Linked DNA regions of Coturnix japonica. The protein of the gene in region 2 interacts with the protein of the main gene of each other region in a pairwise test. Links are inferred from orthologs where the notes say so. Each region holds a gene or a part of one and is shown on either strand. Other genes may lie near its edges.

The links.
Region 1: the proteins of CCNH (region 2) and PPFIA1 interact in binary tests that used the Homo sapiens proteins (3 or more experiments, as listed by UniProt). The link is inferred for Coturnix japonica from reciprocal best matches to the Homo sapiens genes CCNH and PPFIA1.
Region 3: the proteins of CCNH (region 2) and GOLGA2 interact in binary tests that used the Homo sapiens proteins (3 or more experiments, as listed by UniProt). The link is inferred for Coturnix japonica from reciprocal best matches to the Homo sapiens genes CCNH and GOLGA2.
Region 4: the proteins of CCNH (region 2) and SFN interact in binary tests that used the Homo sapiens proteins (3 or more experiments, as listed by UniProt). The two-hybrid records come from large-scale screens. The link is inferred for Coturnix japonica from reciprocal best matches to the Homo sapiens genes CCNH and SFN.
Region 5: the proteins of CCNH (region 2) and DUSP12 interact in binary tests that used the Homo sapiens proteins (3 or more experiments, as listed by UniProt). The two-hybrid records come from large-scale screens. The link is inferred for Coturnix japonica from reciprocal best matches to the Homo sapiens genes CCNH and DUSP12.

What each region holds. Positions count from the first base shown.
Region 1 is NC_029520.1:6,956,534-6,961,022, forward strand, and holds part of PPFIA1 (liprin-alpha-1), read right to left. Parts: intron 1,345-4,489; coding exon 1,243-1,344; intron 574-1,242; coding exon 409-573; intron 1-408. UniProt on the Homo sapiens protein: May regulate the disassembly of focal adhesions. May localize receptor-like tyrosine phosphatases type 2A at specific sites on the plasma membrane, possibly regulating their interaction with the extracellular environment and their association with substrates.
Region 2 is NC_029547.1:54,313,488-54,317,771, reverse strand, and holds the end of CCNH (cyclin-H), read right to left. Parts: exon of another isoform or gene 4,216-4,284; intron 3,443-4,215; coding exon 3,379-3,442; intron 1,838-3,378; coding exon 1,802-1,837; 3' UTR 1,046-1,801; downstream 1-1,045. UniProt on the Homo sapiens protein: Regulates CDK7, the catalytic subunit of the CDK-activating kinase (CAK) enzymatic complex. CAK activates the cyclin-associated kinases CDK1, CDK2, CDK4 and CDK6 by threonine phosphorylation.
Region 3 is NC_029532.1:3,735,286-3,740,267, reverse strand, and holds the start of GOLGA2 (golgin subfamily A member 2), read right to left. Parts: upstream 3,456-4,982; 5' UTR 3,367-3,455; coding exon 3,103-3,366; intron 1,775-3,102; coding exon 1,652-1,774; intron 1,333-1,651; coding exon 1,252-1,332; intron 1-1,251. Other genes in the region: DNA repair protein SWI5 homolog, read left to right, coding at 3,644-3,655, 3,710-3,816, 4,520-4,614, 4,883-4,947. UniProt on the Homo sapiens protein: Peripheral membrane component of the cis-Golgi stack that acts as a membrane skeleton that maintains the structure of the Golgi apparatus, and as a vesicle thether that facilitates vesicle fusion to the Golgi membrane.
Region 4 is NC_029538.1:1,604,994-1,609,098, forward strand, and holds SFN (14-3-3 protein sigma), read left to right. Parts: upstream 1-1,608; 5' UTR 1,609-1,761; coding exon 1,762-2,502; 3' UTR 2,503-3,001; downstream 3,002-4,105. UniProt on the Homo sapiens protein: Adapter protein implicated in the regulation of a large spectrum of both general and specialized signaling pathways. Binds to a large number of partners, usually by recognition of a phosphoserine or phosphothreonine motif.
Region 5 is NC_029516.1:70,998,505-71,003,433, reverse strand, and holds DUSP12 (dual specificity protein phosphatase 12), read right to left. Parts: upstream 3,185-4,929; 5' UTR 3,129-3,184; coding exon 2,878-3,128; intron 2,783-2,877; coding exon 2,669-2,782; intron 2,596-2,668; coding exon 2,477-2,595; intron 1,921-2,476; coding exon 1,824-1,920; intron 1,365-1,823; coding exon 1,178-1,364; intron 599-1,177; coding exon 437-598; 3' UTR 105-436; downstream 1-104. UniProt on the Homo sapiens protein: Dual specificity phosphatase; can dephosphorylate both phosphotyrosine and phosphoserine or phosphothreonine residues. Can dephosphorylate glucokinase (in vitro).

The DNA.
Region 1 (4,489 bases), on a different chromosome or scaffold from region 2:
ATTCACAATAAGTTTCACCATTTGCATTGCCTGCTTCTAACATCAGGTACAGCTGAAGGGCGGAGCTCCTTTAAATCAGCTTTATTTAATAGCTCAGTGTAAGCAGATTTCTTTCCTCCTGTTCTCTCTAGTCCACTTGTTGTATTACACAATTAAAAGACTAAATCCTGATATTATACAGGTAAACAAACATGCTTTGCTCCAACAAATATATAAACCAAGCATGGTTTGGATGCAATATTAGCACATTTGACAGAATGATGGAATAAGCTTACTGCAATATAACACCTTATCTTGGGAGCACAGTTATTGACAGTATTTTAGTACGGTCTCCACTTTAATATAACAAGTATATACAACTGTATGGTTTACACTAAGAAGGAAAACATGAAGCAGCATAGTTATTACCTTTTCATCAAGGGCTTTATGGTGTTCAAATAAAGATTTTAGTGCTTTGAGAACTTCTACTTCACTAGAAACTCCTGCTGGAGACTGAGCTTGTCTCTTCACGACAGTCATTCTGAGAGACCGCTCATGCCTGGAGACGAGACACTCCAAATGTTCCAGTAACAGCTACAAAAAAAGAAAAAAAAAAGCAACAATTTTTATTCCCATTCTACAGAGTTACAGAAAACTGTGCCTCCAAAAACATGGCATTTTGACGTCTAAATTTCAAGCAACCATTAATTATACCAAGTCTAAGGATGCATTTTATTAACATTTCATTCATTTCACCCATACTAGAAGTGATATCAGAGCTAACGAATTCCCTATACTCTATGTAGTTTTAAAATCAGGTTTCTACTTAACTGACCCTTTCCAGTTCTTCCTCTAATCTGAAGAACAGCATGCTTGTCTGAAGGACATACAAATGAAATACCCTTAACTTTCTGCTGGCAGAATCTGTGTAATCTGATGGAAAAGACCACTACAGCTTGCCCACTCAACTCCTCTAATCTTGAGCACGATATATTTTCAAATCTGTAACTAGAAGAGAGTTGAATAACAGATAGTACTGTGATCTTAAATGCCTTTTTCCTGATTCTGCACAGCAATATTTGGAGCCATACATAAGCTTCCAGGCCTTCTTAACATACATTTGCACCCCCAGAATTACCCCTGTGCAAATAGCAAGGTAAGAAAGCATTGAGCTTTTCTAACTCAATATCCTTTTTTTTCCCCCCCTTCATTTCATTGGATGCTAGAAAACCAACGATCTTGGAGAGAAGACAAGGAACTAACCCTTGTATTATTTCTTTCAGCTTTCAGTTCAGCAATTTCTTCTTCCCTTTCAAGCAGCTGTTCCCTGCATACATTTAGCTCTTTTGTAAGCGCTGCGAATTCCTGAAATAAACCAGACAAATGTAAATACATTAAATCCTAGGATGTAGCAAGAGTGGATTCATATGAACACTTGATGGAATTTCTTAAAGAATTCATTTCAGATTTCTAAAGCCAATACATTTGTACAGTCACGATAAGCAGGCTTAAGTTTCAATGCTTAAAACAGTTATAAAGTGACAATAAAATACACTGGAACGGTACTATGATAACCTTCTTCTGTCTTTCCAGGTAATTACATGAGTTAGGGTAACCCTGTTCACAGAATCACAGAATTATCAAGTTGGAAAAGACTTGGAAGATCATCCAGTCCAACCATCACCAATACTTCCCAGCTAGATCACATTCATCAACACAACATCCAGACGTTTCTTGAACACTCCCATGGTCGGTGACTCCACCACCTCCCTGGGCAGTGCATTCCAATGCCTGACTACCCTTTCCAAGAAATAATACTTCCTAATGTCCAGCCTGAATCTCCCCTGGCGCAGCTTAAAACCATTCCCTCTAGTTCTATCATCGATTACACGAGAGAAGAGGCCAACCCCCAGCTCACTACAACCTCCCTTCAGTTCAACAAAGAGAAAAGCCTGTTTCTATTGCACTTGCATATTGTTTCTAAGGTTTGGGTTTTCTGATACAAAGAGATACTACTGCGCAACTGGAATAGCTACAATATCCTAAACTATTTCCATTCTCTAGCAACAATGTTACAAGAAACATAAAAGGCATTGGACCAACTGAAGGAGCACAATCCGGATACAATGTAAGATACAACTACATAGTATCATTCGGTAAATGCTGAGAATTCCATTCCAGCTTAGTTTGGTAACATTTCAGGTGTAATCTGAAACATTAAGAACAATTATTAGCAGTAAGCCTAAACATGAATGAGGTCATACTTTAGAGGACAGTGCTATATGAAACAGACCGCTTTTGTTAACTATGTCACTTAGGATAAGAAAATACACATCAGCCAACTCAGTAGCTGGTGAACATTACAGAAGATAGAAAAGCTAGTAAACTAATTAGTCTTCTCTATTTTTCTACTTTCTATAAAAGAGAAAGATAAATCATGTCTGTTAGAAAGCCCATAAGTACAGTTGCACTGCTAAGACAATCAAGGTAACAATAAGAATATGCTGTGTAAATACACTGCATAAAAGTTACTTCTCTAATCTTTCCAAACTCTGCAAGATACGCTGCTCAACTGGCAACAGCTGCATATCAAGTAAAGGCTTAAGATGGAGCTGTTTTGTAGTAAAATTCAAAGTGACAAAAAGCCATGCTGAAAACAAAAGGACACATCAACTATTTATACTAGTACGTCCATTCACTCTAACTGGAAGCTAAAACAAGCAGCCTAAAAACGTCTTAATTGAAGTAATTAAAAGACTGGTTTAGAATGCTTTAATCTAAAACACATACATGACAAAGAATTCTTTTGCACGATATATTGCCTAGAGAGAACTCCTTCAGGATTACTAACACAGCAGGTGCTAAAAGTTGTCATGAACAGAAAACAGCACCACCACAGATAGAGAATCCCTCATCATAACCACTCCTGCTAAATAAAAACTTATCATGCATATTCCAGTCAGAATTTGTGAGCATCATTAGCTCACCCCCAGTAACTCTGTGGGACTTTCCACGACTCCCAAGCAAATGACAGCATGCATCTCTTTTGCTCCAGATGGAAGCACAGGTAAACCCAGCCGAGGTTCTAAACGTGTAGTTCTTCACAGGCCCATCCCACTTATCTTTGTATATTATGCAACTGACTGTTTTCAAGTTGTAATGAAGTACTAGAAGTACTAAGTACAAGACTCAAAGTATTTCCAAAAGAGCTTGATACAAACTTACTTTATGGGTTGCTCTTTTCCCCCGTTTTCCAAACAAATAAAAATGCCTCCAAGTGCCAACATCAAAATCCAGAAGCATGGAGACTCAGAAAGGACATCAGGCTGACATGGTGAGCTCTACATTCCTCTAGACTATCTCTGTTCTTCAGGACAGAACACTGAAAGCAGTAAGGATTGCCAGACACTGTTTTGCCACTTGTCCTCAACTTAGTATCACTGTATGGCATTAATAAAAATGTTGCTGAGGACAACAATGAGCTCTGCCTACAGAAAAGCAGTGTATGTTTCAAAGGAAGTTGATTCACCCTTCAAATAATAATTACAGACAGTTCTGTTCCATTGCATTCTCCTGTGCAAATATAAACTGTAGCACAAATATATCATAATTCTGACACGAACCATCACACTGCGAGGCGACCCAAGAAGAACAATGTACATGGGAATTTATACTGCTGCTCCATAAACAGACTGACACGTATTTCTAGCATTGCATAATACATTCATTGCTGTTTGTTTTTACAAAACGTATTTGCTTAGAGTCCCATAAGCTGCTCCATAAAGAACACTCAAGTGTCCTCAGTTTCAGCTGATGCTGCCAAAAGACATGTCCTTTCTAGTTTAAATCACTCTCTTCAGCAGTAGATAATTTGTGATTTCCTCAAGCAGTTCGAAAGGAAACTTTGCAACTTCATGACCTAAAAACATTCTGATTTATCTCACCTTCTCTGGCACTAAATCAATGTACAGAAGCAAATACAAGAAACAAGAAAATTCATAAGCAGCTTTTTTACTTGTCCAAATACCATATTGCTTTGTACATAAAGAGAAGCTTGAAAGTTTCAGAACTGAAGATCTGCTTTGCTTCCAGTTGCAATCAAAATAATAAATACTCCACTCTGAAATTGACAGGAGTGGGAACTCAGAATAAGCCCGACAGAGCACTTACTACAAGAAACAGTGTGCCAAATATACTAGATAAATATCCTCTGTTGTTTAGAGTGCACTGGCAAAAACCCATGTAGTAAACTGAAATGCTTACTCAAAAAAGTAACTTTCTGAACCAAACGACACTCAATGTCAGAAAAGAAAACTCAGCAGAAAACTAAACTCAGAAGTATTAGCTCTGTTGCTGTTCAGTAATATATTTTCTGGGTTTTATCCACATATTCCAACATTTCTATATGTCTTCATTAAAAAGAACTGACCTTCACCCCCCAGTTCTAAACACCACAGACATTCTTCCAACAAGTAGCACCAGCTGATCTAGCTGTCAAGCCTGTAGAATT
Region 2 (4,284 bases):
GTTACCTATACTCAGCCCTCATTTTTGGGCCCCTCACTAAAGAAGGACACAGAAGCAATGAATGTGCCCAAGAAAAGGCAACAACTCTGGTAAGGGGCAAGAGCACCAAGCCTTACATGGAGTAGTTGAAGAAACTAGGAACATTTAGCCTGGAGGAGGTGCAGCAGGGGAGACCACACTTCTTCCCACAACTCCCTGAAAAGAGGCTGTAGCAAGGTGGGAATCAGCCTCTTATCCCACATAACTAGTGACTGCGTCAGGTTGTGTCAGGGAAGGTTAGGGCTGGATGTCAGGAAAAGGTTTTGTCAGGACGAGGGGTCATGGCTGCCTAGGCAAGCACTGGGAATCCCCATCCCTGAACCACATCCCTGTAGTTCAGAAATGCGTAACTGGGACCAGATGATCTTAGAGATCTTTTCCAACCTTAGTGATTGTGTGGATATACACTATAGGTAGAAGTAAAAGGCAGAGATAAAAGCACACTCTTGCTACAGACTAATAATGATATCAATCTGTTAGCAAGAATATGGTATTAAAGAGTTCTTTTTTTAGATCCCCTTCCATAAAATACCTGGCTGGTCTGTTGGTCTGCTCAAGTCCAAATTTTAAATTGCATGTCAGAGGAAAAGTTAAGGAATAACTTACTTAAAATAAGTTTCCTTCATTATTAGGCTTTCCTGCTTATGTAACGCAGTAAGGTGATTAATCAGAACACAGAAGTCACAGGACCAGTTTGTAACTTTTTCCTTTTTCTAAATGCTCTGCTAGCAGGGTACAAGCCAGCTCAGAACATAGTAAGGATGGCACAATAAAAGGTGTTTCAGTTAAATCACTTTTCCTTTAGTTGCTAGGTAGTGTGTTAATGGTCAGGCCCTCTGAGGTGAAGCTATGATAGGCTGCACAGTCAGGAAAGAAGAACAGCTTTGGCACTGTTACCAAAGAATGAAATATCATTCTGCCTTGAGTGGGAAGTCTTTTAAATGTGCTTGGCTGGGTATTAGCAGCATAACGCAGCTTAACAAAGAAAAAAAACACAACACAGCTCTGATGAACAGATTTGCATCTGTTTATATGAATTTAAAAAATAAAAAAAAAAAATAAACAAACTATGATGAACACAAAGCTAGGAAAAACCCAGAGCTACATTCAGCTCAATGTATTCTGAGCTGCACGTGTTCTGAAGCAACATATTAAAAGGAAATAGTTCCGCCTAAATTTAGAAACAATGTAACTAACTACTCCGGAAGATCTTTTAAATTATTCTCCTAGGGTGCCCCAAACAGGGTTTGTCACAGCAAGCTGGTCTGAGAGCAAAGCTACAGGAAGAGGAAACAGAGCAGGAGACAAGTCACAAAACCATGAACATAACTTCTAGTATGATAAGTAATTTGCCTGCAGCCCCTTAGTACACTTGGGAAGAGCTTCTCAAACACAACGAGATGTTATGAGCAAGGTTATGTTCTCGTAGCAGTTTCAGTGACAAGCCTGGGCAGAGCACAGCAGCAGATCTTGCTCTCAAGTACTTCAGAATTTATTAGCAGATCTGCATTGCACTTGTATTTAACCACTTTGCTAAACGCCAGAATGGACATAATGTACTGCTGTGCTGTAACCCTGTTCTTAAGTTGCATCTGAAGGCGCTGCTAAACCAAAACTTGAGCTACAATCAACTAAACCTTCAAATAAATGTTTTATTTTGAGGAAATTAAAAACCATATAAAAATACCTCATGCTTCAGCCTACAGAATCTTCTACAGGCAGGTTCAAGTGTGCCACAGAACAGTAAGCACAGGAATAGGCTTCACAAATCCACAACATCTTCATCAGTCCATTCTTCCTAAGGGAAGGAAATCAACCTTGTCATTTTACAGTAAGGTGACCAAGCAATACAGAACTGTGCATGTGGCAGCACTGCATATAGTAGCAGTATTATCTTTTACATATGCTGCTTAAGGAGAGTTCAAGTAATACAACCAACACATTGATCTCCACACTGTGTCTACTGCATGTAAATGACTTACACAGTAAGCTTAAACTGATTTCAAAACACGTGCTTCATGTACTTGAGAGGAATGCATTTGTTCCAAAATATAGGGGTAGAAAAGAAACACATTAATGATTGACAGTGCCCTTCTTGCTCCTGACAACCAGCAAGAAGCACTGTCATTCTTAGTTAACACGTAAGACCAAGCTCCAACTAGAAATACAAGTTCCTTCAAGTCCCACACCAAATGTACGTCTGCCGCTATGAAAACAATGCCTCCCACTTACTCCCAAGGAAATACAAAAGATACAAAGAGCACAATAATGCTATTTGGCAGAGAAAATACTGATAAAAAACACTATTTTTCAACATAGTCACCACTATTAGCTGTGCAAGTGTAAAAAGCAAGAGCCTGCATGCCCTGCTTGTAACTGCTCTGTATTCCACCTGTGCTCTGTATCACTCTTGGCCACACAGGCACAGCCTGCAGGTGGAAAAAAGAAAACCCTGAGAAGAATAAAAGCAGGAGAGCAGCTGCAGTGGAGGAGAGAAGTGCACCTTGAAGCAGGGGATACCCTGCTGGCACTACCCATTGAATCTACCATCAGCACGTTCCTTCTCTCTCCTTTCTGCCCCTTGCCATCTCTTAAGGGTCAGAAAGTAAAGTGAGTGCACTTGCTTAGGGAGTTTCTGCTTCCTGCTTACAGGGATTATCTAAAATGGATGCCTATGTGTACAGTGAATACAACCCATCACCCTCTGTGCTACTCTAAGTGCATAGTTTCCTTGCCTTTGCTCCTGAGACATCCTGTCCCTCACATCCAAATGTACCCAACAAATTCTTTATCCATCCAACAGTCCACCTTCCAAATCTGTATCTTTCCAATTTAGAAATAAGAATGCACCACGAGACAACATCAGACTTTCCAGAAGTGCAGGTAGAAGACATCAGTTGCCCTTTACCTATTCATGACATCACTCCCATCACAGAAGGCCACTGGAATGGCCTACTCATCTGGAGTGCCATGTGCTGGCCTGGGGCCCTGAGCACAGGAAAGGCTGGAGCACCTCTCCCATGAAGACAGGCTGAGTGAGATAGGCATGCCAAGCCTTAAGAAAATACGACTCGGGAGAAATCTCATCATGGCTTTCCAGTACTTCAAATGAGTTCATAATCATGAGGGAGACAGACTTTAAATGGTCTGGTAGCAATAGGACAAGTGGAAATGGTTTACAAATAAAGAAGGGAGATTTACATTAGATGCTAAAACTAACTTGAAAAATATTCTGAGCAACTTTTGTAATGAGATGAAGGAGTTTGTCTCAACAGTGTGTCAGTTTTGTCAGTTATTACTGAGCAGAAAAGTAATTACTTGTACAGAACATTAACTGACCTCATCCAGTTTAGGCTTCTTGGAGTTTTCATCTTCTTCACTAATTTTCCTCTTCTTCCTAAGCCTCAAACAGGAAAAAACAAGAAGCTTCAGTTACTTTTTGAGTCAGACTAATGGTCTGGCCACAGTATTTTAGATTAGTTTATGAACAAATTTGTCACGGTTTTGTAATGTTGCTGTCAGTATTTCACATCGTAACATCATGTGCAGTATGGATCATTAAAAGGTTAATACTCGAGTTCCGTAGAATAACAACGTCCAAAATACTCAGCTCTCAGAAGAGAACTATGTATCCCAGAGGATTTCATGGCCAGAGATAAGTCACGGGAGGAGGACATACATAATCTCACTCCCAGGCTGGAGCTCTCTCTCTCTCAGAGAGTGGGAAGCGTTCCAGCTGTGTCACCTAGAGTTCACAGTAAGCCTCTCGGTTTTTGGGGACTCTCTCTCTGTTTTGTTCAATTTATTAGCCTCAATTATATTATATTATATTGTGTAATCTTGTACTCCGATATCGTATTTAGTAAAATAAGTTTTCCTCCTTAGATTGCTGCTGCTGTTTTCTTTTCCCATTCCCCTTTTCCCCTCCCTTTCGGGCCAGGGGTTCTATGGGGCGGCTGCCCCTGACACAGGTAAATCTAGGTAACCCGTGACAACATTAAAAAATAATAATAAATAACATCCTACTGGAAATTCACGGAGGGTACTAAAATGAAAAGAGCAGATAGAAAATGTTAGCAAGTCCTTTGCCTGCAACATTATTCTTTAGAAAGCATTAACTCTTTGCAGAATTTGTTTTAATCACGTAATTCTGAAGACCGTGACCCTCAAGACAATATGAAATCAAGTGTCCATATTTAGAAGCCATTTGGGATTCCAGTTTTGTGTTAAAAAATAAGCACCATT
Region 3 (4,982 bases), on a different chromosome or scaffold from region 2:
TCCTCCTGCAGCCAGCACCCCAGCAATGCACTGCAGCTCTCTGCAAACCCATCTGAAAGAGCTCCCTTTTATTTCAGTCACTTCATTCTTGGCAGTCTGCGTGAAATAAGAACTCTCTGGGCATTCCCTATTTACCTGCTTTACTTCATTCATGAATCAAGCAGCCACGGGGTTACAGCAGTAGAGAAGATGGATTTAATGAGAGTAATGAGCTGGAAAACTGCAGAGGGGAACGAATGGAACTGCCTCCATTGTTTTTCTGGAGGACAGACATGTGTGCTCTCAAGGAATGACACATTTTAGGGGCTCCAAGGAAAGTCAGGAACTCCCTTGCTTCTTTCACGTACAGGTTACTTGGCCTCTGTTTGTCCAAGCTCTCATAAACTTGGAACATCGCATGGACATCTCAAAAACACGGCCTGCATTTGTTCTGATTGGAACATTCTTTTCACTTAACACTTCAAGATGCAAAAGTCAATGAGACGACCAGAAGGATGCCTTCCTTCTGCCTCCACAGTGAACAGTTTTGAAGTAAGTAATGAAATAAGGTTTGTTTATAATAAATATATATGAAATAATGAAGAGCTCACAGGAGTCCTCCTGTCAGCACAGTTAGCACCTGAACACACTTCCATTGCTCAGCAGACTCCTTCCTGCCCTTCCTCCCCCAGGAGTGAGGGAAGACACTCAAGCCTGTAAATGCAGTACTTGAAATACCCGACTTCCTGCCTAAGCACATTTAGAACTGTGGTACTTGCCAGACTGTACATCACCTGTGCAGGTTTCATCACCTGTCATAAAATGGGGCGGCTGGAATAACTAAAGGCTTGCTCAGGGCAGGCATGAGCAGAAACTCGCCCTTCAGGAGCACAGCACTGAAGTGAATAAAACAACACAGACCAGGAGAAATACACATGAATAAAGCACTACTCCTCCCTAACACAGCGTCTCTCAGCAGTTAACTTGGTTTACTGCCTCACCCCAAACTCTGTTTGCTCCTTTCTGCCTTCCAGCTCGGCTGTCTGAGGGACGTGCACTGGACATGGGTGACATATTTGCATTTTTTGACAGAAAACAGGAGGAAACAAGCACTTACAAGCGATGGAAACGCATGTTAACAAACAGCCCCGTGTTAATAAAAACAGCAGACATGCCAGAACAAGGCTCCATCTGAATTCACAGTGTAAAACATAAGTTAAGCATGCAGAGGGGACAGCGAGTCAGTGAGAGGGACACGGAGCACTGCCTCACCTTCCTTCTGTCCAATGAGGGTATGGCTACCCCATTGGAGCGGTTAAGGTCTGACACCAGCACCTTCAGAATGTTCTGAATCTAAAGGAGGCGAAAGAGAAGGGGAAAAGAGAAACGGCTCAGAAAAGGACAGAGAGAAAAACGTCCATCAAAGGCAGCCAAAGAAACGGGCATCGCCCAGCCCCCGAGGAGAGGCAGCTCGGGGTGCATCCAGGGTTGCGTTACAGCTCTGAACGCTCCAGCACTGCTCCAGCACACACCCTGACTCACAGGCTGCTAACAGGGGCTCCTCAGCCGCTCACATTACACTGTTTAACCCTCCCCCAGCTGCAGTTGTGCTGTTTGGGAAACCAAAGCTGGAGGCAGAGGGGATACGTGGGAGGAAGGGGGGGACGCTCACGTTCTCTGGAGACTGTCGGCCGTCGTTTGTGGGAGTCTCAGGCCGACTTCCTTCTTTACTCTTTCGTTTCTTCTTGGCTCCCGCAGTCGCTCCAGGGCTGTTCTTCTGCTGATACTCCTTCAGCTGCGGGGAAAGAAAAGATTAATGTGAAGTCCAAATGGAAGATGTCCTCTGTGAAGGGAATGGCAACAAGAAAATGACAACATAACCAGTGGGTAAGGAGTCAGCTGAGCTGTAAGGACAAGAGAAACCGGCCTTAAAGATGGATATACGTTAAAAATAGTTCAAAGGCTCCAAAAGGGAGAATGAGAGTGATGGGTTTGTGACAGACCGAGAGCTGTCAGTGCTGTCCAACTAAGGAAGTGCCCAGGAAACAACTTGATGCTGCAAGAAGCAACGTTTGTAAATCTGTAACCAACAGCAACGAGGGAAAAAGAACGATAACATGGGATGCAAACTGGAAAAGTGGAGTCTGATAATAAGATGGAACAAGAATGTTGAAAGAGCTTTAGGAGAACGACAGCCCTGCAGGTAACACACTGATACAGGCACAGAATCACAGAATGACCCGGGTTGGAAGGGACCTCAAGGATCATGTAGTTCCAACCCCCTGCCTGGCAGGGCCACCAAACATACACATTTACTAGATCAGGTTGCCCAGGGCCCCGTCCAACCTGGCCTTGAACACCTCCAAGGACGGGGCATCCACAACCTCCCTGGGCAGCCTGTTCCAGGGCCTCACCACTCTCCTAGTGAAGAACTTCCCCCTAAACTGCCAGCACTGCGGGGATGAGCACACTGCGATGGATGCTCAATTGGAGGCCGTTGTGCCCAGGAGAAGCTCAGAGCAGCACAAATGGCCGCAGCTCGGGGCTGTGAGCGCCCATGGAACGCGGGGCTGAGCTTAAACGTCAAGGTGAAAAGCACCGGAACGAAAAGGATCCTCGGCAGGATTTCAAAATGGAGCCCGAGCTGCTCCGGGGCACTTTCCCATTCGTTTGACTTTGACACGGGAGGGCATCGCGATGGGACGGAGCGGGCCGAGCTGTGAGAAGGTAAAAAGGGAAGAGAAAGGGGAAAAGAAAGGAGGGAAAAAGGAGAAGAAAAGAGGGAGATGGAGAGGAAACCCGAACGGGAAAGAGCGGCACACACAGAACGCAGCAGTGCAGCAACACAGGCCCGGCCCCACCGGGGCGACAAGGAGCTGCGGGACCGGGCCGGGCCTCACCGCAACGCTACGGGCACGGCACAACACGGCACAACACGGCCCCACATAGCACAACACGGCCCCACACAGCACAACACGGCCCCACACAGCACAACACGGCCCCACACAGCACAACACGGCCCCACATAGCACAACACGGCCCCACACAGCACAACACGGCCCCACATAGCACAGCACGGCCCCACACAGCACAACACGGCCCAGCACAACCCCCCGCCCTCACCTTCTTCTTGGCCGCCGCCAACTTGCTCTGCCTGCTGCCGTCCGCCATGTCCGCCCCGCTCCCGGGCCACGTCAGCCGCCGGGTGGAGCGGCGCTGTGCTCGGGCAGAGCTCCGCCCCGACACCCGCCCCGACACCCGCCCCACCCCGCGGCCTGGGCTCGGCCGGGCCCCTCCGCCCGGTCTGGGCCGTGAATGGCGGCCGGTCCCGCCCCGCTCAGTGCCCGCCCACGGCGGATGATCGCAGCCCCGCGTTCCGGTTCCCATCGTGCCGTGCTGCCGGTGCAGGCCGCGGCCCTGGCGGAGCAGAGCGGTCCCGGTTCGGGGCGCAACGCGCCGCCCCCGCAGCGCAGGTAGGAGCGGAACGGGTCGGTTCTGTTCGGTTCGGTTCTATGTGCTGACTCGGGGCTCCCCGCGCTGTTTCAGGGCTCTCGGCGGTTCCCGGCGGAGCGGTGGTGCCGGTTTCAGATCCCCGGTGAGCCGCCCATCCCGTCCCATCCCGTCCCGTTCCCCCGGCTCCTCTCGGTGCCGTTCAATAACCGCCATGACGCGCCGTGTCCCCGCAGCGCCCGGCCCCATCCCGCACAACGGGCGGAGCATCGTGCGATAGTATCGAAGAACTGAAAGAGAAGGAGCGAGCTCTGGACCGGGAGATCGCGGAGCTGCTGTCCGAGTACGGCCCCGTTACAGCCCCGTTACGGCCCCGTTATTGTCCCGGTACAGCCCCGGTACCGCGGCCATCCTAAGGGTTATGGGATCCATGCACGGCAGCAGGGAGCTCCTTCCCCGTTGTTTCCCCAGTGCTGTGTTGGTCAGGCTCTGAGCTCCCCTGCTGATGTACATTGGGAAGTAACGGGTGTGTTTCTATAGCTGATGGCAGCACACGTTGTGCTAACAGAGCTGCTGATGTATATAAGCTGAGATCTCAAGCTGAGGCCGCTGCCCAGCTGCCTGGATGAGCGTTTCCCTTGGTCTGTGTGAGGCCATGGACACTTGGTTTGAATGAGGTGGTGGGGGTTAATCATAGAGACATGAAGGCTGATAAAGAGCTCTGATCCCCACCCTGTGCCCACTGCCACGTCCCTCTATTCCACGTCCCTCTATTCCACGTCCCTCTATTCCACGTCCCTCTATTCCACGTCCCTCTATTCCACGTCCCTCTATTCCACGTCCCTCTATTCCACATCCCTCTATTCCACGTCCCTCTGTTCCACGTCCCCATGGCTCTAGAACACCTGCAGTGATAGGGGCTCCTCCATCCCTGTGCTGTACAATGCCCCACCACTCTGAGAAAGGCGTTTTTCCTGCTATCCAACCCAAAATCATTGCTCTAAACAATGATGGGTTTGACCAGGCTGGCTCTGCACACCTCAGATATTGCTTTGTTCCGCAGTGGTTTTGTTGTGTGGCTTTGTTACAGAGGGTACAATGTGGAGGAATTGGAGAAGCACATCTCTCTGCTCCATGAGTATAATGAAATTAAAGATGCTGGGCAGATGCTGCTGGGCAAACTGGGTAAGAAAACTATTGAAGAAGCTCTTGGTGAAGCAAATCTTGTTATATAAAGAGATATTGATGCCTTAAAGGCAAAGCTTGTTTCAAAGAATCCTCAGTGTTCAGCTTCCTTAACAAAACCAAGTGGGGGCACAGCTGGAAATCTTTGGTTCCTTGGCTGTGGGTGGTTCTGTGGGATACATACAGTCTACTGGGAGGAAGGCACAAGTCTTTCCTGACCTATTTGTTCTCTTCTTAATGAAAGCAATGGAATTTCTTTCTTTTCTAGCTGTTATCCGAGGGGTTACTACGAAGCAGCTGTACCCTGAGTACGACCTGGAGCTCAATGATTAACATGGGACCCATAGACTGCTGTGACCTGCAGACCT
Region 4 (4,105 bases), on a different chromosome or scaffold from region 2:
CCCATTTGTGGTCTCTCCTATGGGGTAGGGGGCAGAAGTGCATTCTGTTCAAAACCACAGCCCCTGTGCATCCATGAGGTCGAGCAGTGCTCACGGGGGGTCCACTTTGAGCCCCAAACTCAACAGCCCCCACCATGTGGCTGGATGGGGACTGGGACCGCATAAGCTTGGGACCAAGAGCTGCCAGCCCTGAGCAACCCCAATGGGGAGAGGATGTCAGGGATGGGGCTGAGGGTGCTGGCACAGCGCTGGTGAAGCCCTTGGCTCCATCCCCACGTGCTGCCCGCCGCACCCTGCCCTGTGCCGGCGTGTGGGAACAGGCTGAGAGCGAAACTGCAGCGCAACGCCGAGCTCAGATCCTAATCGGGGCCGCCAGCGCTGCTGGGCAGAACTCGAATCAAAATGAGACTGACAAAAAAGAAGGAATAATAATCCCAATTCTTCCAGTACAGCGTAAAGGGAGAGAAAAGAGCCCCGGTGGGATGAGCGGAGAGGGTGGGGGACATGGGGATGGGTGGTGGAGAAGCCTTAATGGGGATCCAGTGGGGTTTGTGGGTGTGGAGCTGCCTTGGGTTTGGGGATGTCCAATGATGGTTCAATGGGGGGGTTGGGGTTGAGTACTTGCAAGTGCCAGGGCAATTCCCCCTGAGCAGGCAGGGTGGAGGAGTTGGGAATGCCCCAATCCCAATCCTGGCCCTGATCCCTGCAGCAGTGCTGGGGTAACGTGCTGCTCCTCCTGCCTCGATTTCCCCACCAGTGGGAATAAATACCAGCCCTTCAAGCCCTTGCAATCACCGACAAGTTAATCATCATATAAAAATGACAGCGATGGGATTTTTGGGGAGGAGACCATTTTTACAGCCAGGTTTATTCCCCGTGCTGTTTCTCTAAGGGTGGTTGGGATGGGGGCACTGGGTGCTGCCGCTTTCCTGCTTCACCCCAATGTGACGACCCCACTGCTCCCTGTTCTGAGCACTCCTGGCAGATGGGGAAGGGTTCCCCCATTGGTCCATGGTCCCCCATTGATCTGGGATCTCCATTGATTCCTGGTCTCCCATTTATTTGGGGTCCCCCATTGATCCGGTTTCCCCCATTAACTCAGGGTCCCCCATTGATCTGGGGATCCCATTGACTGATCCCAAGTCTTCCAAGTATTTGGGGTTTCCCATTGATTTCGGGATCCCACTGATTCCAGGTCTCCCGTGGGTCTGGGTATCCCATTGATCCAGGCTCTCCCACTGGTTCAGGCTCCCCCACTGATCTGGAGTCCCCACTGATTCTAGGTCTCCCATTCATTTGGGGTTTCCCATTGATCCGGGGTCCCCAGTTGATCTTCCCTCCTCCATTGTTTCAGAGTCTCCCACTGACATAGGATGTCCCATTGATCCAGACTTCTCCATTGATCCAGTGGGACATCCCATTGACACAGGGGGGGCTCACCATGAACTCCCTGAACACATCCTCTCCCTCCCGGCACCCACCTGATCCAGGGCAGGGTGGGTGCCACCCGCTCACCCCTTCCCCATCACCCTGTGCCTCGGGGCATGATGACTCACGGCAATTTGCTTTTTAAGGGCGGGCTCTGCGGGGAGGAAGCAGAGGAGGAGGAGGCCGCTCCTTCAGCCTCGTTGGCTCCTCCTGCTCTTGCTCGGGGCTCCGACGCTCAGCCAAAAGCGAATCGGGGCGGTGAAGCTCAGCAGAGGCTCCGACGGCTCCCGGCCCCACTCCTCGTCTCATCCTGCTCCTCATCCGCCCTCAGCCATGGCAAGAAACCACCAAGTGCAGAAAGCCAAGCTGGCCGAGCAGGCTGAGCGCTATGAGGACATGGCGGACTTCATGAAGGCGGTGGTGGAGCATGGAGACGAGCTGTCCAACGAGGAGCGCAACCTCCTCTCCGTCGCCTATAAGAACGTGGTGGGCTGCCAGCGCTCGGCGTGGAGGGTCATCTCCAGCATCGAGCACAAAACCGAGGAGGGAGACGACAAAGCGCAGCTGGTGAATGAATACAGGGAGAAGGTGGAAGAGGAGCTGAAGGGCGTCTGCAACGTGGTGCTGGGCTTGCTGGAGAAGCACCTCATCAAGAAGGCCGGAGATGCAGAGAGCAAAGTGTTCTACCTGAAGATGAAGGGAGACTATTACCGATACCTGGCTGAGGTGGCCTCCGGCAACGACCGCAAGGAGACGATCGACAGCGCCCAGAAGGCGTACCAAGAGGCCATGGACATCAGCAAAAAGGAGATGCAGCCCACGAACCCCATCCGCCTGGGGCTGGCCCTCAACTTCTCCGTCTTCCACTACGAGATCGCCAACGCCCCCGAGCAGGCCATCTCGCTGGCCAAGACCACCTTCGACGAGGCCATGGGGGACCTGCACACGCTCAGCGAAGACTCCTACAAGGACAGCACCCTCATCATGCAGCTGCTCAGGGACAACCTGACGCTATGGACAGCCGAGTGCGCGGGTGAAGACGGCGGCGAGGCTGGCGAAGAGCCCAAGAACTGAACGGCCCCCAATGCAGCTGGGGTCCATCCCCCACCTCCTTCCTCCTCCCCTCCCTCCCAGACTCCCCCCCCTTTCCCCTTCCCCTTCCCGAAGCCCTTCGGTGTCTTTTCCTTTTGTTTTGTTCCTTTTTTAAGGAGTGGGGAAGGTATTTCGCCCCCCCACCCTTACCCCCCCTCCAGTTCTGGGAGTGGGGTCCATATGTTTGCCCTTTGGCAGGGCCTCCCCTTTCCTTCTCCCCCCCCCCATGTTCTTGTCATGCTCCCCTCACCCCTTTAACACTTTGTTTGGGGGATACCCCAGCGTAGCTTAGGGGGGGCCCTAGCCCTCTGTCTTGGGGGGCTAGAGCCGTGCCGCTGGTCCCTTGGGGGCAATGGGAGGAGGTGATGGGACGGGATGGGGAGAAAGGGGAGGGGGGGGGTTGATGTGCCCCCCACCCGGATGGAGGATTGCGAATTGCCGAAGCCTCTGTGTGGCTCCAATAAACCATCTCGTGCACGTCTGCCTCTGTGGTCGCCTCATCTCTCCTGTCGTGCACAAGCCCAGGCAGCTCCTGCAGCTCCCACAGCCGGTCCCATTGCGTGCCACGCCATGCTGGGGAGCACTCGGGGCCTCCAAAGTGCAGGTCTGGCTGCCTGCAGCCCCTCCCAGCCCCGCCATGGGGTGTGGGGGTACTCAGCCAGCCCCAGACCTCAGGGACGGGTCTCAGAATGGGCTTTCTAGGTGGGTTTTCCATAGGGAGAGTATGTCCCAGGTCTCCAGCCCTGCAATTGTATGTCCCCATTCCCATGGTGTCTCCATCCCTTTGGTTTTCCCATTCTTGTACTGTCCTCATCCCCAAGATGTTCCTATGGTGTCCCCACCCCCATAGTATTTCCATCCCCGTAGGGTTTCCATCCCCATGGTGTCCCCATTCCATAGTGTCCCCATCCTCATAGTGTCCCTATCCTCATTATGTTTCCACCCTTATGGTCTTCCCATCCCTATGATGTCCCCATCCCTACAATGTCCCCATCCCCATCTTGATGTCCCCACCTCCATGATATCTCCATCCCCATGGTGTCCCCACCCAAACCACGCAACCCACAGTGTCCCAAACCCCATTACTGGGGCTCCGTGCAGACAGGGGGATGTTTCAGCTCTTCCCCTCCAGCACTGACACGGAGCTGTCACAGGGGAGGTGACAGCATCCCACCGAGGTGAGGACATCCCCATGGAGGTGTGGATGTGCCGGCGCTGGAGAAAGCTCAGCACTTCTGGCCCTGGCTCTCAGCCACAGCGAAGGGTGCAGCTCTGGGAGCGCGAGTTTCAACACGAACAGTTAATTACACTGAAATCCAGTCCTGGCAGCCTGGGCCGTGAGCTCATCAGATGGAGAGCAGCAGGGCTGGGCCGTGCTGGGCAGGACCCGGCTTTGATGGGAAATGGGGTGGCAGGAGGAAGCCGAGTGACTCAGGGTGTGCCGGTTCAACGGGGTCTTCACTTGGGGACATTGGGGACATAGTGCTGAGCTGTGCTTTGGCACGGTCCAGTGTTGGGTATGGGGAAACTGAGGCACGACCCTGCGGTGGGGAGGATGGGGCCGTGGGAATGCTCTGGCTGTGGG
Region 5 (4,929 bases), on a different chromosome or scaffold from region 2:
CCCTGCCCTGTATACCACCTAAACTTCCCTAGCAGAAGGCAGACAGTACTGTTGTCCACAACTTAAAACTATCACGATAGCATATTTTTCTTTGTAAATAAGGATTAGAATTTGTAAATAACAATTTTATTCAGTCTGTTGCTGTAAACATCATCTTCAGGCATTCTTGTACATCTTTGACCACTGTTTAACACATCTTTAAAGGATGTGCTTTACTGTCCTTATATACAAGCATTTATGTTATATTTAAATATGCGTATATATATGAATGTATACATCCTGTATTTCAGATATACTGAAAGCAATAATAGATCAGGTGCTCAAGTAATTCCTCTGCTTACAAAGGGATGGAAGTCTCAAGCTCTGTCCTGGCAAACCCAGGGTAGCTGGAATTTGTCTGTGGTCATTCAGAGATCCATTGAAAGAGGCTCTGAGTTCAGGTTTTGGCAGCGGGGAAGTTACCAACTGACAGAGTTCTCGCTTCATCTACTCGACTTTTGTGTATCTGGAAGGCAGGGGTCACCCAGTGGCCACAAGAACACTGCTCACCCCACCAGCTAAAGGAACCCAGCTTAGATGTGCATTTGGGACACAGAAGCTGCAAGAAAAACAAATAATCCATTGTAAGATACATGCAGATGTATTCTATGGTACATTAAGCTACAGCAACCTGCACTAAAGCCAGCACTTGTAGCATTTCACAGAAGTTAAACAGTCTGAAAAACAGGACAAAGAAAAACACCAAAAAACAACAGCTGTATAGGCACAGCTGGAGCTTGCCAATGCCCCAGTGTGTGACAGGCAGCTGTGCTAGCAGAAGGGAAGACATGGAAATGCAGCTGCTCAGACCTGGTGTGGTTCCAGAACACTTGCCAGTCTCAGACATCAGAAAGCCTTGGTCAGCATAAGACCAAAATGGATTTTTATATGTCTCATAATCCAATATACTAAAAACAACCAAAACCTGTCAAATATCCTTCCTAGCATACTCAATCCAACAAGATCACCAGCTCACTTCCTTATACAGGGATATTCTAACATTTGAGAACCTGTTCATAAGCTGCAAAGCTGATGCAGGAGAGGCTGGGAGACCTAGGATGTTGCGTGGGGGCCTTCGCATCAAGGAACAGCAACAGTTTGTTTTACCTCAGCTAAGATATCCAAAAAATGCATTCACCTGTCCTTCTGTTACTCCTAGCAGTGCTGGCTCCATCCACTGCACAGGCTCAATGAAGTAAGAGGTGCACTTAGCAGGGCCACTGCCACGAAGATGCATAGACTCCGTTATTCTCTTGTGAGCAAAGGCTGTTGGTCCACTTCCTTCCATGTGGGACAAAATGCTGGAGCTACGGAACAAAGCGCGCCTGTTCTCCGTGACAAGAGGGGGAAAAAGGGTGAAACACTTATTGGTGAAGCTTAGAGAGCACAGGGACAAGGACCTTATCTTTCCATAGGCAGGCACTGACTCCATTTAGGGCTGCATCTTAACAAATCTTACAATCTGCATAGCCCTGGGCTCTGCTTTACCACTGTATGCTACAATATATGACTGCAGAGCAAGCAGTATCATGTATTCAAGCAAAACTACACCCGCCTGCGTAATGTGGCAAGTTAGGGTGCACGAGTGCTGCACAACTTTGAGTTTTGTATTTCATCATGTATTTGTGCTTGTTTAATTGCTGTGACATGCGTTGTAGGGAAACTTACACAAGATCTTATCCCTGTTCCAGAAATAACGACACGGCCTCTGATTGACACAGGTTATTTTCCTCTCAAGATCATTTCAAAGTGACATTTTGTGGGAAATACAAAAGGTTCAGTACCTGCATTTCCTGCATCTATAGAGAACTTCTGTGTTTGGAGTCTGGTGTGTGTTGGTTGGATCAACAGCAAAGACTTCTTGGGGTAAGTCTTGAAGATCTGCAGAGGGGACAGAGTTGTAAGTCAGACTGATAAAGGCACTGATGTCCCATGCTGTCCTCATGCAGCACACCAGACACAAGGGGTCTATCTGATCCACAGCCAGTTGAATACAGCTACAAGCCACAGCAGCAGGGCTCAGAGGTCATGGATCACGGCATATAACTTAAGACTGGGAACTGTCAGAATTTAAAGCAGCTGCACATCAGAAAGTGGGCGCCTGGTGCTGTCCAATGCAGCATGAAGCAGACCGCATGGCTGCCATGGGCACATCTGCATGTGAGCACTTAGTACCCTGCTCAGGAGCAAGCAGTAGGACTCACAGAATCGTCTGAGCTGGAAGGGGCCTTTGAAGGACATCCAGTCCCTACCCCCTGCAGTGTACAGGGACATCTGCAGCTCCATCACATTGCTCATACCAGCTCCATTCTGACCTCGAACATCTCTAAGGACGGGGCACCCACCACCTCCCTGGGCATCCTGCCTCATCCCAAGCTCAGGGCTCAGTAACACGGTGTGGCTTTTGGACAAGGCATCCCCAAGCTGCCCCACTCACCGGAGAACCTCTCCGTGAGCACCTGCAGGCGATGCTGCTTGTACAGGGCACTGCTGCTGTCCACGACACAGCCCATGGCCTCGTATAGCTTCAGCTGCCTCTGGAAGCCCGGGTTCACCCTGCGGTACGGGAGAGGAGAGCAAGCTGAGACCGGGCCCGTCCGGCTGGGGGTGCCGGGTTAGGGGCACTCACTCAGCGTCGGGTTTAGCGGCCCTGACGGCGGCGTAGGCCTCCTCCCAGCCGAGCCCCTGGGTCTTCATCAGGTACGCGGTCACCACGGCCACGCTGCGGCTCACTCCGGCCTGGCTGCGGGCGAAAGGCGGAGACGAAGCGATGGCTTAGAGCAGCTCGGGGCGGCCGGCCCCAACACACCACACCGCACCACCAACCCCGACCCTCACCACCGCACGAGGACGGCCCCGCCGCCCGCCCGCGCCGCGCCGATGAAGGCAGCGCACTCATCCAGGCGGCTCAGCAGGTCGGCGCCGGGCTCGTCCAGCGCCCGGATGTACAAGGACTGCAACCCCGGCACCGGAGGCGGCTCCTCCGCGTCCACCGTCAGCACCGCCATCACCCCGGCCGCCTCCAGCGCCTTCGAGGACGAGCACGACTCCGCGCCGCCCACGTAAAGCCCCGGCAGCACCGGCACCATCCCGCCGCCCCGGCTACGGCTCCGGTCCCGCCCATAATGGCGGCTTCCGGCGGTCCCAAGAAGGGGGAGGTTCACAGAATCACACAGTATCACAGAATGACCCGGGTTGGAAGGGACCTCAAGGATCATGTAGTTCCAACCCCCCTGCCTGGCAGGGCCACCAAACATACACATTTACTAGATCAGGTTGCACAGGGCCCCGTCCAACCTGGTCTTGAACACCTCAGCCCAACAGCCAGTAGAGGCAGCGTGGAGCTCCAGCCCTTTGCTGGCAGAGCAGTGTGGGAAGCTGAAGTGTCCTTGGCTCTCTGCAGCGCTACAACTAAAACATACATGTGTTATCAACGCTATTCTCATCCTAAATCCAAAGCACAAGCTGCTGGGAAGAAAATAATCCCAGCCAAAAGTGGGACGCTCTCATAGATGAGAACACGGTGTGTTAGCAGGATACCTGTGCAAAACATTGCCATGCAACACATTTACAGCTTGAAGTGAGATGTAACTAACAGTTGCAGCAAAATACTATGGTGAAACATTGAGTTATTCAAGTCTTGAGGGGTTGAATAAAGTCAGCAGGCGAGTACACCTTAGTGAAGGGACTATGTGTTTGATGGCAGGGACATATTGTACAGGGATTGGATGAGTACTAAGAGGTGGTTAATTGTGTCTGTGGGCCTTCAAATGTGAATTTGTGGGGGTGAACAGTAGCATCTGTGACTGTTTTTGCAATGACGAAAGCGACAGACAGAGTTGAGGCGCAGAAGGGAGTGGTGTGGTGCATCAATTCCCAGAGCTGGGGATGCTGGGGGAACATGAAAAACCTACAACTTCAAAGTGAATATCTGTGGTGGGGGAAAGCCCCTGGGCAGCTCTTTGTGTCTGGGGTTGTGCTCCCTAAACAATGCAGCCGTTTCTCTTCGCCTCCCTTTGCTGTGCTTGCCACCTGTAGCTTGAGCATATGGCGATGGATCCCGAGTTTGCTCACAGCTCTCAAAATAGAGTCAATATTGTTTTCGGTTTGATTGAACCTTCCCCACCCACCTCTGCCTCCCCCCTCTTCGGTTTTTGTCTTCTCCTACGCCACTGAAATTTCTAACCGTTTGTTCTCCCCCGGATTCTGGGAAACTGTGTGAGTAATGAAGCAAGCTCAGGTGCAAAGCAAAACAAACTGGAGGGCAGACTGCTGCCCACTGCCTCCAGTAAGAATGTTCCATCTCAGCATGTGCTGCAAGGGAGGGCCTGGGCCTTCATGGAAAGGAAAATCCTTGTGTACACATGAACTATTTCATGAGAAGAAGAGTCTGCAGCCTGTAGATGACACGTGGCAAAGCTGTGCCCTGGGAAGTGGTGGAATCACCATCTCTGGAGGTGTTGAAGAAATATAGAGATGAGACGTAACCGTGGTGTGGTGGTGTTGGTTGATGATTGTACTAGATGCTCTTAGTTGTCTTTCCCAACCTTAATGACTCTACGGTTTTATAATTCCAAGGGCTGATAGGTGAGGATATCTTGAGTTATTCACAAGAGTCAATGACACTGAGCTTCTGTGTCCTCCTCAGATCTGGCAGCCCTCTCTGGAGCTCCAACAGAGGATTTTTCAATAACCCCCTATTGGTGGGACGTTTCTATCTGTCTCCATGCTCTTAGTACTGCCAACATGGCTGTTACTCTTCATGTCAAACAAAAGGGAGAGTTTCTCAGTGGCACATTTGATGCTCAGTTACAGAACAGAGCATGACAGTTCTTACTACCACATATTAATAACTCCCCTTCACTTTATGGCTTTAACAGTTGGAGCAAC